Caenorhabditis elegans: one gene and its partners. The protein of the gene in region 4 interacts with the protein of the main gene of each other region in a pairwise test. Each region holds a gene or a part of one and is shown on either strand. Other genes may lie near its edges.

Evidence for each region.
Region 1: the proteins of mrg-1 (region 4) and rfp-1 interact in a two-hybrid assay, tested with the Caenorhabditis elegans proteins (2 studies listed by BioGRID).
Region 2: the proteins of mrg-1 (region 4) and ZK1127.3 interact in a two-hybrid assay, tested with the Caenorhabditis elegans proteins (2 studies listed by BioGRID).
Region 3: the proteins of mrg-1 (region 4) and smut-1 interact in a two-hybrid assay, tested with the Caenorhabditis elegans proteins (one study listed by BioGRID).

What each region holds. Positions count from the first base shown.
Region 1 is NC_003281.10:8,356,714-8,363,085, reverse strand, and holds rfp-1 (E3 ubiquitin-protein ligase bre-1), read right to left. Parts: upstream 4,465-6,372; 5' UTR 4,460-4,464; coding exon 4,334-4,459; intron 4,280-4,333; coding exon 4,112-4,279; intron 4,063-4,111; coding exon 3,923-4,062; intron 3,874-3,922; coding exon 3,390-3,873; intron 3,328-3,389; coding exon 3,202-3,327; intron 3,111-3,201; coding exon 2,490-3,110; intron 2,362-2,489; coding exon 1,973-2,361; intron 1,924-1,972; coding exon 1,543-1,923; intron 1,077-1,542; coding exon 998-1,076; 3' UTR 603-997; downstream 1-602. Other genes in the region: R05D3.9 (uncharacterized protein), read left to right, coding at 1-234, 327-448, 498-602; Putative RNA-binding protein R05D3.8, read left to right, coding at 4,822-4,944, 4,995-5,142, 5,192-5,487, 5,541-5,630, 5,752-5,850, 5,920-6,099. UniProt on the Caenorhabditis elegans protein: E3 ubiquitin-protein ligase that mediates monoubiquitination of 'Lys-117' of histone H2B. H2B 'Lys-117' ubiquitination gives a specific tag for epigenetic transcriptional activation and is also prerequisite for histone H3 'Lys-4' and 'Lys-79' methylation.
Region 2 is NC_003280.10:7,053,624-7,056,727, forward strand, and holds ZK1127.3 (EAF7 family protein), read left to right. Parts: upstream 1-1,663; 5' UTR 1,664-1,673; coding exon 1,674-1,764; intron 1,765-1,809; coding exon 1,810-1,980; intron 1,981-2,025; coding exon 2,026-2,261; intron 2,262-2,302; coding exon 2,303-2,425; 3' UTR 2,426-2,550; downstream 2,551-3,104. Other genes in the region: ZK1127.13 (Phage tail protein), read left to right, coding at 1-114; ZK1127.4 (Protein BCCIP homolog), read left to right, coding at 327-680, 728-1,240, 1,292-1,474; cth-2 (Putative cystathionine gamma-lyase 2), read right to left, coding at 2,693-3,104.
Region 3 is NC_003283.11:6,095,339-6,099,585, reverse strand, and holds smut-1 (Synthetic MUTator), read right to left. Parts: upstream 2,482-4,247; coding exon 2,349-2,481; intron 2,302-2,348; coding exon 1,774-2,301; intron 1,727-1,773; coding exon 1,221-1,726; intron 1,173-1,220; coding exon 1,005-1,172; intron 923-1,004; coding exon 695-922; 3' UTR 503-694; downstream 1-502. Other genes in the region: crt-1 (Calreticulin), read left to right, coding at 1-116, 172-414; Y38A10A.7 (N-alpha-acetyltransferase 40), read right to left, coding at 2,683-2,839, 2,891-3,229, 3,275-3,375.
Region 4 is NC_003281.10:12,870,774-12,876,547, forward strand, and holds mrg-1 (Mortality factor related protein 1), read right to left. Parts: upstream 3,882-5,774; coding exon 3,387-3,881; intron 3,328-3,386; coding exon 3,179-3,327; intron 2,259-3,178; coding exon 2,039-2,258; intron 895-2,038; coding exon 745-894; 3' UTR 501-744; downstream 1-500. Other genes in the region: spcs-2 (Signal peptidase complex subunit 2), read left to right, coding at 4,258-4,338, 4,393-4,854; cec-7 (Chromo domain-containing protein), read right to left, coding at 5,094-5,399, 5,451-5,735. UniProt on the Caenorhabditis elegans protein: Protein involved in the remodeling of chromatin thereby regulating various processes including transcription, chromosome synapsis and genome integrity.

The DNA of each region.
Region 1 (6,372 bases), 4.5 Mb from region 4:
CTTTCTCGAAGTTGTCTGCTCGGCAAGATGCTCGGAAAACCTATATTTTCACAAAAATTGATGGGGAAAGTGAGATGATTAAGAAAACCAAAAAAGCATTGGGAGTTGGGGAGAACGAATCAATAATTGTGTTTTTGAACAAGGATCGAGTGCATCGAATTCCAATTTCAAAGCCTAAATGCCCTGATCATCTTCAGAAAATTCTCCAGATGATTATTACATCTGAAGCGGATCGTGAGTTTTTCCAGATACTTAGCCATACGCGAAGTTTCGTGATTTTTGTTGAATTTAACAAAGAATTCATCGTGCCGAGACCGAAATTACAGAAGTTCTCTCAACAAAAGAGCCACATCCATTAAGATATCTTCAAGTTGAAAAAGTGAACGAAGTATTCGGATTCGAGGAGACTCTTGTTCTTCCAGATCACACACTTTTCCTGGATTCCGATGTAAGTAAAAGTTTTGTTTCCAGTCAAATAAAATCTCTTGAATTTTCAGCCATTCTCTCGTCATCCACCAATTACAGAGGGTGGTGGTGGTGGTTGCCCATTTATGCAAGGAGGTGGAGCACCAACAGAATCTAGTCAACATTCAGAACTTTGATATATTATCATCATGCATAATTTTTGAAACAAGAATAACTATTACTATACATTTTTAATAAAATGAGAAAAAACATAAGAATTTACAACTTCAAAATTATATCAATATCAACTTCAACAAAGTTCATAAACTTGTGGATGTGTGCGTGCCGTGGCATCATCACGGAGATTCAGAGTATCAGAACAGAATTCAAATAATATAAGCCGACTAACTATAGAGATAGTGATTCAATAACTTGATAGGATGAGACAGTTTAAGATAGAAGCTTAGAAATTGCGCTGTGAGAGGTGGGGGGAGGGGAAGGGACCAAAACAGAGAAAACGGAGGACAGAAACCCATGTTGAACTGAGAGATTGAGAAAATGAGGAAATTTACTAAATAATTTAATGGCGGTTCTAGATGAAAATACGATGGAAGTCATTGGCTCCGAAGTTGCTGTTGCATTTCGGGCATTTCCGTTGACGAGTGTCGTACCTGGAATTTTTTGAATCATAAGCTAGAAATGCGAGATATCGCTTGAATATGTATTTTTCGTTTTACTCCGACGCGAAATTTCAAGCTGAAAATACACGACAAAATGTTTTGTTAAATGGGAAAAGGTGTGCGTCTTCAAAGAGTACTGTAGTCTCAGACTTTTGTTTTAGCGGAATTTTCATAACTAGTTGCACTTTTTTATTAGTTAAAAGATTGTGAGAAATAGGTATTGTAATACCAAATTCTCACAATTTGTTAAAATTCGGGTTTTTTTTAAATTTCATATTCAGTTGACATTTTTTATCGAGAAACTATGAAAAATTGATGAAAATTTCGTAGCATCAAGAGTTTGAAATTACAGTACTCTCTAAAGACGCGTGTCGATACATTTTTTTTAATTAAAAATTGAAAATTTTTGCGTCTAGGTCAAACCAACCAATTTTAGTGTTTGAAAAATGAAACTAACATAGTCTTAATGCAAGTTTCACAGAATAAATGATAGCATTTGAGCATAATACAATCCTTTGGCCTCGTTTTACATGATGGACAAGTCAGTGTTTCTTTCATTTGTCGATTCGCTTCCTCGAGGACTTGATCACCACTTTGAGCCGGTACAGACTCATTTCGTTTTACTCGTTCATATTTAATTCGAAGCGTCTCAAGTTCCTCTTCAGCACGTTGTCTCTTGAATTTAAAATCTTCGATTTCACGTGCCTTGGCAGCGTATAATTCTTGAATTTGCTTCATTTGACCTTCACATCGATCCGCTTTAATTTGGTTTTCGTCTCGTGACATTCCAACTTCTTGAATGTTCTTTCTATGTTGTTCCATCAAGTTTGTGAGACGTCTAAAAAATGATATTTTAATTTATGGATTTCTTAACATTCAAAACTAACGTTAATTCGGCAGATTTGAACTGAACTGATTCCGACAGTTTAGTTACCAACTCTTCATTTGCTTTCTTCTCAAATTCGTGCATTTTTGCTATTTGAGCATCTGTTTGTGCTTTACTTTCCAAACAAGACAATTTTTCACGCAATCGATTAAATGTCTGATTCTGAATCATTCGATCATTCATCATTTTCAGATTTCGATCCTCCTGTTCCCGCTTCTCAATGTACAGTTGAGCATTCCGTTCTTGTTCTTCTTCTACAGCTGTTCCAATGGCTTCTAACTCATCAGATATGCATTCTTCGTCATTAGTCAGCATTTCATTGGTCTTACGAAGAGTCTCCAATTCGGACAATTTATCAGCAATTTGACGATTGACTTCTTTCTGTAAATTCTCACACGGGATTGTAGAGATATGAACAGACGCAGAAATAATGTTTTAGAGTTTACTGAAAGTACCAAATAACGAAAGGACGTGTACTTTGAAAACACATTTTTGTCAAATAAGGTACAATGACTTACTTCGACTTGTTTCTGCTTCTCCTGTTTTTCCATTGCTCCCAGTCGTTTTACTTCTTTACACAAAGATTCGTATTCTTGACGAATTTTATTAACATCTTCCGGTGGAGCATTACTAACGTCTTCAAGAGGAACAAGTAGACATTTATCCTGGGCTTCTTTCAGTGAAGTTAACTCAGACTTGAGAGTGTTGATATCTTTTTGAGATTGCTTATCCTTTTCGCGCAAACGAATTTTCTCTGATTTTAACGATCTATTCATAGATCGTAGAGTATTCAAAGTTGCTTTCATTTCATCCCACTCGCTTTGCTTCACCGTCTTATTATATTCTTCCTTAACAGTTTCGAATTCGCAGCGTAGAACTTCACTGTCATGAGATACTTTGTAGAAAGAATTGTGAATATCCGATTGACATTGAATTTCCTTCAGCGTCTTCTGATGTTCTTCAGACATTAGCATTGCACGAGCTTCCTTTGCACTGCGGAAAGCATCACGTTCTGTTGTGATATCTTCAAGATCTTTGCTGACTCGCTCGTATTCTTTAATTGCTAATGAGTAGTACTTTTTAAGATTCTTGTATTCCTCCGAGTTGACAATTGAATCCACAGAGAAGAAAGTTTGTGTCTGCAACTATTTCAGAGGTAATAGAAGAAATTCGGGTAAAAATTTCATATTTTTGTAATGGATAAAAATTAATATATAGTCAAAACGGTACCTCTAGTCTTAGCTTGCTATTTTCCTGTGTTAATGTTTGAACTTTTTTATTCATCTCCTCGAGATCTTGAAGGCGTCGTGATGCAATGGATTCCTGTTCATCTCGTTCAAGACGCAGATTTTCGATCTGAAATTATTTTTTAAAAATGCGTTATTCATTTCGATTGATAAAAAATTTTTAAATCTCACTTCTTTTGCAGCTGTTTCACTTGGTGGAATATCTGGAGCTGATATCTTCTTCTCAGTAGCATTTGTTGTACCCGACGAAGACGGTGTCGCCCCTCCGTTCCCTCCAGACTGTCCCTCCGAGACGAGGGTGGCTAGTTTGTACTCAAATTTGTTAGCAAGACGCATATGTTTGTCAGTTTCAAATCGGGCATCTTCCAATTGATGTTCTAATTCTTGAACTCTGTTCTCTTGTACAGAAAGCTTATCCGTTAGAATACGCTTTTTCCGTTCCAAATTGTAACAATCGCTTTGAACTTTGGTAACTTCGGATTGAAGCTTTTCATTTTGTATAGCTAAACTTGCTGCTTTGGCTGTAAGCTCCTTATGGACACCATTTGGATTGAAGGTAGGAGAATCGATCAATGTTTTTAGTTTATCGATGAAAATGGTGGATTCGTGAGCCCGATCGTGGCGCGCTTTAGCATACGATACGAATGCATTCCGTCTATAGAAATATGTAAATTAAGAGTGAATTTTAATAATTTAAAACTCACAAATTCTGCTTTGCCTGATCAAAGAACTTGTTATATGTTTCATTAGTCATTCCAAGAACGTCTATACCAGTTGGTGCAGTGTCTCCTCCGATGTATTCTCCAAACTCATTCTTAGTTTGTGTACATATGTATTTCTCAATCTGAAAAAGAAAATAACTAATTGCAATCTGAAAATAAGTAAAAACGTACATCTGAGAACATATTATAAACCTTCAGAAAGTTGCTTTCGTCTGTCTGCTGCCGCCTCTTGGACCGTTCATTTTCTTTTTCCAATTCGGCTATTCGCTTATTTTTGTACAACAATTGCTGCTTTAATTTAGATGTCTGATAAACTACGGCACGAGCTCTTATATCGTTCTGAAATCGTTAGGGATTATTAATAGTATCCTCGATTTTAAATGAAAGACATACCACGTTGCTAACAGCGGGCATTCGGACCGGTTCGAATTGAATTTTGCGTCGTTTTTGTTGTCCATCGTCACTCGGGCTACTTGCATAATTTTCTCCTCCTATACCTTCATTACTTCTTTTCATCATACCTGAAATCAATACGTTTCTAATATTGTATACAAAATGTTAAAGAGATGGTAGAAAGCAGGGAAAACAAGGAAAAGATTTTAAACATATTAACGGATACTTAATCAATGTTTTTGAACAGATTTGATGACAATTTTATTGTTTTTGGAGTGCAAAAAAGGTGATTACAAAAAGATTTCCAAAGAGACATTTCAAATGGCACTCTTTTCGTTGCGAGACCTGAGTGAGAGAGTGTGTGACTACGGTCAAGAGACGGAAATGGGGTAGATTTACGACCGAACAGCATTTACGAGACTTGCGGGACTTTCGAATTCTTAATTCGTTTTTTTCTCCTCAAATTTCGGTCTTTCGTCCAAATAACAATGGTAAAAAGGATTTTTGTGCAAGGATTGGATAGCTATACAACGGAATCGACAGTTAAAAAATATTTTGAACAATTTGGAACTTTATACGAGTGCATTCTACCTCCTCCTCCTAGATATTCGGTACAGAAACTCTTGTTCTGATAGAAAATGTCATTATTTTCATTTTATAGGTATTCGACAATGGACCAGACGAGGAGAAAATTTCAACACGATCATCGATTCGATATGAGCCTGTGGAAAATGATGATGTATTAGATGACGAGCTCGATGTCGAACGATACGATGTTGAAAAACACGGCGATTTTGAGAGTTACATGAGTACGTAAGTTCGAAAGCTTTTGAAAAAAGTAAAAATGCCGAGTTCCAGAAAAAATTGGAGAAGGTGAAGCATTTATCAAAGAGCCGAGAAAGACTAGCGCAGGCTACGCCTACATCACTTTCGTTGATTCGAACGGATATTCAAATTGCATGAAATCAGATATTCATGAAATCGATCGAGCCAAATGCACTGTTGAGCCAGCAAAAGATGAAAATGATAAGAAGTTGAAAGTAGAATCAAAACGACTTTTTGTTTCTTATTTTCCACTAGACAGATTAACTTCAAAAGAACTGAAAATGAATTTTGGAGCCTACGGAAAAATCACAGATGTAGAATTTGTCAGTGTAAGTTTTTAATTATTTGTATGTTTATTTCATGTTAATTTTTATTGTTGCAGGATTCAGAAGGGCCGCTTCACTTCTGCATTATAACTTTCGCAGACTCCAGATCTGTTGATGTTCTTCTAACCAAGTCAATATACATCAGGGTGAGAATATAGAATGCTTTCAAAAAAAGATGCGACTAATTCTTCAACAAACAATATCAGGCGTAGTCATCAGGACTTGATTGCAACCTCGTATTATAACGCGTTATGAAACATTTTTCAGGATGTTCTGATGTTCACCCGACGTGCTGTATTGAAGGAGTCCGTTAAAATAGCGGAACATAAGATAAAAGAGCAGGAACAACAAAACCTCGTGCAACTAGTAAGTTTTATAAAGTTTAAATAAATTATCTTGTAAAACGTGTTTTAAAATATTGCATTACATTTTCAGCCTCCAAATCACACTGCTTATCTAACGCCGTCACGTCCCGTAACTTCTGTACATGCCTCATCATCTGCTTCATCAAATCACTATGATCCATCTGCAGCAGCAGGATATGCACCACTATATCATCAACCACCAGAATCAGATCCATTGTCTCAATGTGGCTATGGACCGAGAAAATGGTAGCTGTGATGATCAAACAAAACTCATATATCTCAAATTACGGTTTCACTTAATTCGAAGTTTACGAACATTGATTTTAAAAAATAAAATTGATTTATCTTCGAAGTTTCATTCTCTCGTAACTTCCTTTATTCTCTACTAGTGAGCGCAGTGAGCGAATGTTCTGTGAGTGTTTGAAGAGGCCGTCCGTTGTCCCTCTGACCGAGAATAAAACATTATACAAAATGAAGAGAACACAGGGAACCACGGATGTATCTCTGTGTCTCTTCACGATGC
Region 2 (3,104 bases), on a different chromosome or scaffold from region 4:
TCGATTCGTGTTTGGCAATGGGACCGAACGTGCGGCGAAAACAATGCTGATCGCACGGCGATTGCACGAGCCTCGAATTATCTTAAAATTGCACAAGCACTTGCTGATGACTAGTTTCAAGTGATTAATTTGTACTCTATTCTAAATATCTCAATTTTTCATTGTGATCTCTTGTGTAACATTATTCAACAAAAATTAAATTTTTTAAATTAACCCACTGTAATAATGTTCACTTTTTATTTGGTTTTAAATGGTTATATACCATTTTTATACTTTATTCATTGTGTCAGTTATATGTTTTTTTATAGTCTATAGCATTTTTCAGAATGGGTCGAGTTTTCAAAAAGAAAGGAGGTGCTAAACGTGAAGCCGAAGAGGAGAAGCAAGAAGAGTTGGTTATGCGAAAGAAGTTGAGAAAAGAGGAAGAACCAGAACCAGTTGAAGACGTAGAAGAAGATGAAGATGTGAGCGATGAGGATGATGAAGATATTGACGATGAAGAAGAGGATGAAGATGAGCAGAACATTATGGATTTCGATTTTGAAGCATATCCACCATCGGAAGATGATCGTGATGGTATTGTGAACATGCTCACTCAGACATTCCTAAGAACAGATATTGACTTGAAAGCAATGTCAGAAGGAATCATCGCTAAAGCACCTCATGGAGTCGTCTTGACTGTAAGTTTTAGTGCATAATTATGTAGTCTTTAAAAAAACATTTTCAGCAAGCTTACGACGATGAGGAAACCGAAGAAGATTATATGGCTTACGGGTTATGTACAACAGTTCCTCTCAATGATAATAAGGATGATGCTCCAAAGTTTATCAAAGACTTATTCACATATGTTTTGAATCGTGCAAAGAAAGGAGCTCCTACTGAAATTTACAAGAAAATTGAAGAAATTCAAGTTTCTGGTGATGGTAAATCGGCGTTGTTTGTCAACGAAAGACTTCTCAATTTTCCGACTATTGTCGTTCCTCAAATCTTTGGAAGCATTCGTGAAGATTTGTCCGGCTTTGAAACGAAATATAAAACTATCATCTACATACAGAAACTGCGCATTGTTGAAACTGATGGATCAGAAGCAAAAGTTGGCGCCAGCTCAAACGGATCTAGTGGAGTAGCTGGAAAAAAGAAAGGAAAAATGGGAAAAGCCGAAAAGAAGCGAGCTGCTGCGGCTGCACTAGCAAATGCTGAAATCGAATTCGACAATCCAGAAGATAGAGTTCTATTTGAGGTGAAATAATAAGGAATCAACTAAATAATTTTCAATCGATTTTATTTTCAGATCAAAGAAGGAAAAGAAATTCATTTCGACTATCCAGTTCACATGGATGTAGAGCCTGGAAGTAAATTCCACAGTACCGAGAAGGATGGAAAGAAATGGAATCCATTCCGTCGCCTTGTCATCATGGATGACAAACGTTTCGATGCATTTTTGAAGAAAGGATCCGATGGAATTATAATTTAATTCTTTTGATATAACTTTATGTTAGATCAATTTTTATACAATTTTTACTGTTGCTGTTGTTGTTGTGTTTTTTATTTTAAAAATAACTTTCTTATTGAATCTAGACTTTCATTGGATTTAATATTTAGTTTATTCTAAATTTATGTTACCTTTTTTTAAAACTTATACGCTTTATGTTTTCTTTCTTAGTTATTTCTAGATGAGAGTCCTTACAAAAAAGACAGAAGAAGAAATTCGTCGTGATTTTTTCGGACCAGTTCAAGAGGCGGCTTGCAAGCCTTATCTTCTAGGTAAGTAGTCTTGTAGCTTCTTTTTTTTTAATGGTCATTTTCCAGATGTTGATCCTCGAAAATCGTGGTGTGAGCTGTCAGAACTCCGTCTGAGCACTTTAATCTGCGAGTTTAAACCGATCGGAATCAATAAACATTTTCATCTAATTGGAATAATTGAACGTATGGGAAAAGTGTTTGACAATGAAAATGCTCAAGTCGAAATATTTCTAAGCGGTCAGTGAACTACTCGTTTAATGTTTTTTAATGATAATTTTTAAGAAGAGAACAGAGTTGCATTCCGTAACCAACAAAGAGACCTCTTGATGGGAGGACGCCCAGAACGAACTTCATATCCGCCTAAATACTTGTGTCGTCCTTCACTTGAAATGATCGAAGATAAGCTCAAAAAATGGTTCGGTCTGAGATTCTGTGAAGAAAATGAATCGTATCCAAGCGAGTTTAATAGTGTCACCGATTACGAACTTCCCGAGTATATCATGGCTGAAGTGCGCGAGGTAATTTTGAAACAATAGATATTGCTTATTTTTGTTCATAGCTTTCAGATAAGAGAGCAGAAAGAGAAAGAAACACAGACAACGGGATCGTCGAGTCGGAAAAGAAGAGTACCATCCCCAGAAGATTGACAGAAGAAGATGAAAATTATGACATTCAAACTTAAATGATCTCTCTATGATTCCTTCTACGCTATCTAATTATAATTCAATGTGTACCTTTCTTTCATATACCAATTGCAAAATATCATGTTATGTATTCCAATTTCTGTTTCGAATAACAATTATCATTTTTCATAGAAAAAATTTATTGGATAGTGTAAGACACAATTTGAGTCGATTAGTTAGAGGTTGTGGTGGAGACGAGTGGGCAATTAAAACTAGTACCGGCTTTCAGATTTGAAACAAATGCATATCATAAAATGATTGAAAAGTTATACTTTTGGAATGGCAATCTTCAAAGCTTGATCCAAATCAGCAACCAAATCATCGAGATCTTCAATTCCAACAGAGATACGGATAAGGTTATCAGTGATTCCAAGAACAATTCGAGTTTCAGCAGGCACTGAAGCATGAGTCATGATAGATGGAAGCTCGGCAAGTGATTCATATCCTCCAAGAGATTCAGCCAAAGTGAATACTTTGAGAGCAGAAAGGAAAGCACGACTCTCTTGAAGTTCTCCTTTAAGATAGAATGAGATCATTCCAGACATTCCCTTTGTTTGTTTCTCATGAACTTCATGTTGTGGATGAGATGGAAGAGCTGGATAGAGAACTGATTCGATACGATCATTGGCTTCAAGGTATTTGGCAACAGCAAGAGCATTTTCATAGTGAGCTCTCATT
Region 3 (4,247 bases), on a different chromosome or scaffold from region 4:
ACCCAGCCTACAAGGGCAAGTGGATCCATCCAGAGATTGAGAACCCAGAGTACACTCCTGATGATGAACTCTACTCTTATGAAAGCTGGGGAGCCATCGGATTCGATTTGTGGCAGGTAAGAAACTTTTATTCTATTTTTCAAAAATGAAACTCAAACTTTATTTTTTCAGGTCAAGTCAGGAACGATCTTTGACAACATTATCATCACCGACTCTGTTGAGGAGGCCGAGGCCCATGCTGCCGAGACTTTTGACAAATTGAAGACTGTTGAGAAGGAAAAGAAGGAGAAGGCCGACGAAGAAACCCGCAAGGCTGAGGAGGAGGCTCGCAAGAAGGCCGAGGAGGAGAAGGAGGCCAAGAAGGATGATGATGAGGAGGAGAAGGAAGAGGAGGAAGGACACGATGAGCTCTAAGCAAATCGTGCACAGCTTTTCAACTCGCTTCATACAATCGCCCCCACTCCATCACAATTCCCCCGCATTCAAGTCTCTCCTATTCTCTCGGGTTAATTGATTGTTTTATTAATTTATTGAGCATCCATTTTGATGCTGGATAGCCTTTCTTGTTTTATAATAAAAAAATTTTAAAACCTATTTACGAGTTCGATTAGTTCAATGAATATAAAATACAGGATCAGATACATAGAAAAGCGATAAAAACCGGCACAAAATAGGAAATTGATATGTGATTCAATTAAAGTGATTGACGCAACTTCAGCCATTCTACAAGCCAATTGGGAAGCGTTTCCTCGCATTCGAGCATAAAAGAACACAGCTGCTCGATAATATTCGACATTGGTCCGCCAAATAAATGATGCTCATCGATGAGGACAGTAGCTCTTCCACCACATCCATCGCGACCAACTCGTCCGATTCTATGCATGTAGCTCGGAAAATCGGTGGACATTTCCATGATTATTGTCTGAAATATGTGACTTAAGATAAAAAATATTTGGGTCAATAGTAGCCATGTTTTTATCAATTTAATATATATGTAAACTTACCTGTTTCACAGAAGACACATCGATTCCTCTCGACATAATATTGGTACATACAACTCCATGAATGTTGCAAAACTCCAAATCATTCAAAGTGATTGCTTGTTGTTGTTTCAACACACTACTGCATACAGGTTTGAAATTATATCCCATCTGACGAAGTGCCATAGTTACCTGAAAATGTTCTCAATATTTTTAAAATCGAAAGAATAGGGGTAAAACCTGAATAACTCTTGAGACAGTTTCACAGAAAATTGCAATAGTATGCTTCCATGGGCCTTCTTTTGTGCTTCCCATTTCCTTGAGATCATCATCTAACAATTTACAAATAATATTCATCTTAACGATCCAAGGATTCGAATGGATATCATTTACTCGCTGTCCACCAATTCGAATAACTCGTTGAGTGATATATCCAGGCAATCTCGGACAATGGATCAGTGACCATGGATTTTCACCTAACATTCTTGATTGACGTGAAGTTAATGCAATTGAACCATCTTCGTTTCTGTTGTGAGACGCAGAAAAGAAACAAGATTGAAGATTTCTGAGCACATCCTCTTGTAGTTGGTCTAAAACCCAATCAATGTCATTTCCGAAGCATGCAATGTCAATCATTTTATCAGATTCATCCAAAATCATCATTTTCAAATTGTCAAGAAGAATTGTTTTATCCTCGATCGATGCTTTCAGCTTTCCCATCGTACAGAACGCAATATCGCATTGATCTATAAAGAATTCGTTTTTTTTTGGTTAGACGAATGCTGTAACGAACCTTTTGTGAACTGATAGCTAGCAACTAGTTTTTCAATTTTAATATCTCGAATAGGTATAATATCTTCCATATCTATCAAACCAAGAAGAACTTCACAACGATTAAAAAGTTGTTCAACGAGTGAGTTGGTATTTGCAAGAATAAGAATAGTTGGTGATGGCGTGGTTGAAATATTGGTAAGCAATGGTCGCTCCCTCAATGCAATTTCAATCGCCGGAATAAGAAACGCATAAGTCTTCCCGATTCCAGTTGGAGCATCCACTAGAAGTCCTCGGCGGTCACGAATAGCTTGAATTGATTTTTGTTGAACTGCATTCAGAATATGAACTTTTATTCGTTGCAAATTGGCGGCAAGTCGGTGATCTTCTATTGCATGTGCAACCATCCTCTCTGTTCCATAATCAGCTGGAGTTTCTACTCCGTCTTGATCCACCATTATCGTGTTCTCCTCACAGTGTTTATTCAATTTGTCAGTTTCAGCTTTTGAAGATGTGACTGCGCCCAACTGCTGATGACGATCTCTCATTGCTGAAGAAAAGTTATTGAAATATTTAATTGCCCAGAACATGGTTTACCAAAATAATAATCTCTAGTTTTAATAGATCTGAAGTTGAGTACATTTGCATACTTTGGAGGAACTAAATCAATGTGCTCAACTTGTACCCGACTATCGTCTAATGCATCGGCAGTGTTCCAAGGATGAGGCATCTACAAAGATTATTACAAAAATGTTTATATTTTGGTTTGAAAATAAATATTTGAACGAAAAGTAACGGTTTTTACGACACAATATTATAAAAGTAGAAATATAAAAAACGTTTGTTTACCCAAAAAAAAATACATGTAACAATTAAGCCAGAATGAAGATGATAACAAATTAGAAAATCATAGAATCAGAATTTAATATTCTTATGTGCTCGGTGTCTCTTTCGACAGGATCGCATAATCCAGACCAGAATCATCGGATGGGCACGTCACGTCGCTGTTGTATCCATGTTTGTGAAAGAAGCCGAGCGACGGTCCATTATACAGAAAAACTGTTGCCATGACTTTACTCATGTTTGTCCTGAAAATAAGAGTTTTTGTTTATTGGCTCTCGAATTAATTGAAACTGTACTTTGAAGAGAGCTTTTCCAGCGTGTCGAGCATCATGCCACCGATTCCTTTGTTCTGATAAGCCGGTACAATTTGAAGTTCCCAACAATATGCCACAGGAATGTTGTGATCGACCACAAATCGATAAGTGGTATAGCCAATTTTATCCCCTTTCGAATTCTTCGCGATGATGAACCTTGATGTTGTTGCACGAAGTTCGTTTCGCTTGGAATTTTCATCGTATCCCCACTGGGATTTGTGATACATATCGTACATGTTCTCTTTGAATAAACTGAACACCCACTCGAAGTCTTCATCACTCAAATGTGTCGCCCACATGTAATCGAATTTGATAGTTTCGCTGAAAATAATAAAGATTAATTTGAAAATCATTCAAAGATCCTACCCATCAGTTGTAGTACTTCTTTGTGTCTCGCATTCGAATTTCTCAACTGGTTTTATGTGCTGACAAGCTTTTTTGACCAATTTTTTCGAGTCTACGGGCATTTTTGGGCCGATATCTGAAAAATTGTTTTACAATTATTGAGAAATAAAACATGATCGATTATACTGGTGACAAATTGATCAATAAAACCGTAAAGAATACTGAAAAGAAAGGATAGAATCATTTGAAAAAAATGCATATAACTTGAATGTCGTATATTGTGGTGAAAAGTGTGCAAACACCATCACGTCAAGTCACGGATTTGCTTTAAATTAACATTTATATGTAAAAATTAGTCTTTATTGATAAAAATATCGTTAAAATGTACAATTTTGTTGATAATCGGAAACAAATTTACATTTCGTATGTTTTAAGTTGTAATATGTCTCCTAGCTAATATTTTCAGGGTCATTCTTCGCTGTATCATCTGAAATTGAATGCTAGTTAGATATTTTCAATTTTTATTATTAGAAATAAAACAGCTATCCAGCATAAAAAACGATGTTTAATAGAAATATACAAAAAGTGTTACGACAGCACGTTCTTAACCATGCGAAAAGTTCAGAAGTCTGAGACCCGAAGAACTCGGGGGATGTCCAATTGGGGGGATTACCAACTCGGGGGATTGGCCCCGCCCACAGAACCGTGGCTTGCAATACGCCCATTTCTGCAACTGCCGCACGGTTTTAAAACTGTATTTTTCTCAATAGAGCGAGAAATAACAAGAAAAAATAATTTTAAAACCGTGCGGCAGTTATGAAAAACCGTGCGGCAGAAATGGGCGTATTGCAAGCCACGGTTCTGTGGGCGGGGCCAATCCCCCGAGTTGGTAATCCCCCCAATTGGACATCCCCCGAGTTCTTCGGGTCTCAAAAAATGGACGAAAATTAAAATTGCTGTCATACTTCAAACTGAAATTCGTTTCGAGAGTCAA
Region 4 (5,774 bases):
TGTAATTTTTGAGAATGCGTATTGAACAACATATCCGACGCGCAAAATATCTTGTAGCAAAAACTACAGTAATATGACTACTGTAGTGTCGATTTACGGACCCGGATTTTTGAATTGTTTGAATAGTGATAGAAGAAAATTAAATATCGCTGTCACTATTTAAAAATAAATTCAATTCGAAAATCGAGCCCGTAAATCGACAAGAATTTTCGCTACGAGATATTTTGCGGGTCAGTTATGTTGTTCAATAAGCATTCTCAATATTTAACCATCTTAATCATGAAACTTCAAAATCGGAAGAAAAAAGTATATTCTAATATTCAAAAAAATCTTCAGTCTTCCTCTTCTTTCCAGTCTGGCACGTGGAATGCGAGATGGAATAGTTTTGGGGGCACGCAGACATTATATCAAATCTCGATAGGCTAAAAATGGCGGGGAGTTGGAAGAGAAGAAGAATCTGGAAAAATATGAATGTGGGGGGCTATTGAAAAGAAAATGAGAATCATATTCATTAGAATAGTTGGGAAACAACTAAACGGAAAATTGAACGATAATGGAATGCGAAATGTGGAAGTCGTCAGAAAACGTGAGATTAACGTGAACAAAATATGGATCTCCACGATTTCACAAAAACATAATGGTGGGGCTAGCTTTGGAAAATAATGAACAATGTATAAAATTATTGAAGTTATATCGGTGTATTGAAGATCGTCTGGGATGGAACACATGATGAAGGAGATCAGTCTATTGATTCGCTCCAACTCCGTCGTCGGCGGCGAGAGATCGGCGATAGTAGTCGTTGGAGGCACCTTGATAATCAGACGATCCTCTGTAGTACTTCCCGTGATTCTTATTCAGGAACACAATCAAATCGTGAACTCCAATCATGATGCGCTGAAAATTGATTTATTTTATTTTTGGAGCATGGGACTACGCTCAGTGGGGAAATTGCTTTAAAACACGCCTATGGTACCACAATGACCGAATATCATGATTAAAAAAATTCAAAAAAAAATTTCTAGATTTTATATGATTTTTCGAAAATTGAAAAAATCTCAGTTTTCACCTAATTATTTTTGAATTACCGTCAATTGGATTTGTTCGATGGAGCGCGCTTGCATTATTTTCATTAATTAATTTTATTTTTTCTCGTTATTTGGCTGGTTTTCTTCATTTTCTATGCTTTTAAAAAGGACAAATGCGAAATGTTTGTTAAAAAGTAATTGAAAATGAGTAAAACTGTGAAATATACTAATCTCAGGCTTGTCGGAACTCAGAATATCACAGTTTTACGCATTTTCAATTACTTTTTAACAAACATTTCGCATTTGTCCTATTTATTTCTTTCATTTTCCGAGGAAAAAACATAGAAAATGAAGAAAACCAGTCAAATAACGAGAAAAAATAAAATTAATTAATGAAAATAATGCAAGCTCGCTCCATCGAACAAATCCAATTGACGGTAATTCAAAAATAATTAGGTGAAAACTGAGATTTTTCCAATTTTCAAAAAATCATATAAAATTTATAAAATTTTTTTGAATTTTTTATCATGATATTCTGTCATTGTGGTCCCATAGGCGTGTTTTAAAGCAATTTCGGGCTCCTGAATTCACGGAAAATCGTTTTTTTTTGCTATTTTTTATTTATATTAATGTTGAGAAAAATGATACGCATTGAAAAAATGTAAATTTTGGAAATTTGGCCTCAAACTGGATCGAAACCGTCAGTTTTTCGATTTCAGGATCGTAAAATATTCAATTTTGTGGAGAAAACGCAGATTCACAAAAAAAAATTGATTTTTAAAATTAAACAAGGCAATTTCCCCATTTTTCAATTTTAAAAATCAATGTTTTGTGAATCTGCTTATTCCCTACAAAATGGGATTTTTTATGATCCTGAAATCGAGAAAATTGACGGTTTCGATCCAATTTTCGGCCTAATTTTTCCAAATTTTACACCTTTTCGCCAAAAAAAAACAGATTCCGTGTGGAAACCAGATTCAGGAGACGCTCCAGGAGTTGAACTTCGAACATACGTTAATAACATGATCATTCCATTGAGTGAGCTTCAGGTAGTCCGGGAGCTTTGCGAGCATTCTCAAGAAATGCACAATTCCGTACTCTTGAGATGGACGGAATCCACTATCCTGCAGGGCGGTCGGGTTTGTGATGTCGATTCCCTTCTCCATAGCTCGCTTTTTGACAAGGTCATTGTACTGTGGCCGCTCGAACTTATAGAGCAGTTGGTAGCTGGAACTAAACAATTCATCCTTACATCGTAACTGTTTCAAGTGGGATTGGGGCGACTATTCTACGAAGCGGAGGGCATTATGTGTACTCACTGCTACTTTTATCGAACGAGGGACGAGGAAAAGCGGTTTCTAGGCCATGGCCGAGGGGCCGACAAGACTTAGCGGCAATTTATCTTGCTTTGTTTTCCGCGTGTTTTCTTTTGTTTTTCAAAAAAATTTTCCGTTTTTTCTTATTAAAACTAAATAAAAGATAAATAAATATTTTTGTAGATGCCAAAACAATTTCCAGGTGAAAAAATTGTGTATTCAGTCGGCAAGAAGCGGTGAAAGTGGTCAATGTTATATGATGGATTACGGTAATACTAAACCTAATCGTTTTTCTGAAACATGGCATTTATTCTGCTTAGAGACTGAAACTATTCGATTTTCATAACGAGACCGCTCAAAAAGTTCTGAGATTTTTGCACAAAAAGTTGAATTTTGAAAATCTCAAATCTTTTTCAGCGGTCTCGTTATGATGAAAATCGGGTAGTTTCAGTCTCTAAGCAGAATATATACCATGTTTCAGAAAAGGTTTAGATTTAGTATTCCCGTAATCCATCATATAACATTGAGCACTTTCACCGCTACTTGCCGACTGAATACATAATTTTTTCACTTGGAAATTGTTTTGGCATCTGCAAAAATATTTATTTATCTTTTATTTAGTTTTAATAAGAAAAAAACGGGAAAAGTCTATGAAAAATTAAAGAAAACACGCGGAAAACAAAGCAAGATAAATGGCCGCTGAAACTTGTCGGCCCCTCGGCCATGGGCTAGAAACCGCTTTTCCTCGTCCCTCGTTCGAAAAAAGTTGCAGTGGTACTAAACATTGGGCTACGTGCAATTTGCATGCATCTGTTTAACATATTCGAATTAACCAACCCCAAAGTGACATTAAAATAGTCGACGAGTCCACGCGCGGTGCAAATCAGAGCCAAATTCGTGATTTTTATATCAGCTTCCTCGTATTCGATGAGCAGATCATCGACCGTTCTCATTTGCTCATTACTGACCGGAATGGTTTTGATGTACTGAAAATGTTGGATTTGAAAATCGGAAAAAATGATATTTTAATTTTTTTTATGCTTACGTCCTCGATGATTTGATCAACTGAATACTCGTGTGGCACGATGTTTATGAAATAACGGCAGACAAGATCGTAGTCATCGATCAGGATCTTTCTCAGTGGCTTCGGAAGCTCGACCTTCATATCGTCGGCGGTCATAACCGGCGCAATTGTCACCGATTTCGCCTTTTTTCCCTTCGACGTCCCCGGAGTGTCATCACGATCGTCTCGTGGTGCTTCAGCCGCAAGACTTTTCTTCTTCGGCTTCAATGCAGTTGTTGGCAGCTCTGCGTTGTGTTTCTCTGCATACTCCGAGGCTGTTCCCTTGAAAATGCGGTCTTTCTCCTCGCCGACTGGGATTTTCTCATCGTATCGATTGTTCCAGCCCTTGAAGTGAACGCAGTAGAGTTCCTTGCCATCGCTGTTGGTTTTGATATCAGTAATTTTGGCATCGTATGGTTTGCCTTTGTAGATGCACGCGACGTTCTCGCCGACTTCGAAGTTCTTCTTTGAAGACATCTGAAGGAATTAAAGAAATTAATCGATTAATTGGTGTTTTAAGCGAGTTTTAGCAGCAATTCTAGCCAATGATGTATATTTGAACGATTTTTAATCAAAAAATAGATTAAAAATATCGAAAATTCGATAAATTTATCGATAAAAACAAAAAAAAAGCTTTTCTCAAAGCTCAACGGCATTTTCGCAATTCAAACCCCCCTGCGGCGCGGTTTTCTAAGCAAATGCAATAGCGCCGCGCACGAAAAAGTACGCAAACACCACGACGCAATAATGCAGACTTCCAATTTTGAGACGTCACCACTAGCTTTTTGCTCATTTCTTTTGGGTTTTTTTGGATTTCTATTCAATTTTTATTCTCAAATATATTAATTTTCAGATGACGGACGAGCCGGTGAAAGTTGTGAACAAATGGGACGGTCCAACAGTGAAGAATGCCCTTGATGAAGTCGTCAAAAAGGTTTGCTCTCCGAAACTCCAAAATTAAAATTAAAATTAAAATCTTTCGTTTCAGATTCTGAACGACAAAGTCGGATGGACGGAATCGCATAATCTAATGAATCTGCGTCTTCTCATCTCATTCATCGGCGTCGCGTTCTCCGCGTTCGCCTGCGGCTACGACTACTACGAGCCGTTCCCAAAGTCGAAAATCGTGCTCGCCGTGTGCTCGGTTTCCTACTTCATATGCATGGGAATTCTTCAAATGTATCAGTGGTACGTCGAGAAGGACTGCATCTACGAGGCCACCGAAGTCGACGGAAAACAATCGAGAAAATGGGCGTGGAGCTCGGAGATCAAGGCTCACGACGATAAGTACACGCTGTCGGCCGAGTTTAAGAAGGAAGGACGCTCTGGACAGGGAAAAATCACGAAATCTATCGGAGCTTATATCGATAACGATGGAGAGATCATCGTGCCACTTGTGAAGAAGGAGGTCGACGACTTGTACAACCGCTTGATTCGTAGCGAACAATAATTTATTTAATTTATCTGGTTTTCTTGGCCTAATTTATTTCCCCTTTTCTTCGCTTTTCATGGGTGCCCCTTTCTCTCTCCATCTATCCTGTTTCTTGTCTGTCAAAAGCTAATATTTCCAGCATTTTATACAATATGAACTTGTCAATTTCGGTAAGAATTCATTGTACAAATAGCTTGAAAAGAACAATTAACAAACACAAAATTTTAGCAATTTAACAATTTATTAGCAGATCCCATCTACTTCTTCATCTCGAGCATCTCTGCGTACTTCGCGGCCGAGCCCTTGAACAATCGACCCTGCTCCTCGCCGACTGGAATTTTCTCATCGTAACGGCTGTTCCATCCTTTGAAGTGAACGCAGTAAAAATCCTTCCCATCAGTGTCGGTTATGATGTCAACGATGTACGCGTCATATGGCTTTCCGTTCTGTGTGCACGTGACTTGCTCACCGATTATGAATTGTTCTCTACGTTTTCCGACTAGCCGCGGAGCGTTCTCTTTCGTCGCTTGAGGCTCTGTGGATTTTTCATGGTTTCTAGCGGACTGAAAATGCAAAATTTATTATTTAAAGCTTCAATATTCTCTGAGCAGTACCTTGCGCATTGTGACAACTGGAGCTCGGTAACCATCTGCTATCCCTTTAAAAATACGGTCTGTCTCCTCGCCGATTGGAATTTGCTCATCGTAACGATTGTTCCATCCTTTGAAGTGAATGCAGTAGCACTCCTTTCCATCCTTGTCGGGCTTGATGTCGGTGATGACCGCGTCATATACTTTTCCCTTGTAGGTGCATGCGACTAGCTCGCCGATTACGAATCTTGTGCCAGCTGCATCATTTGTTGAGCTGCTCTCACCATCCTCGGCTCGGCTGCTGGCGGACTGAAAAAACATGAATTCAGTTATTTAAAATTCCAAGAT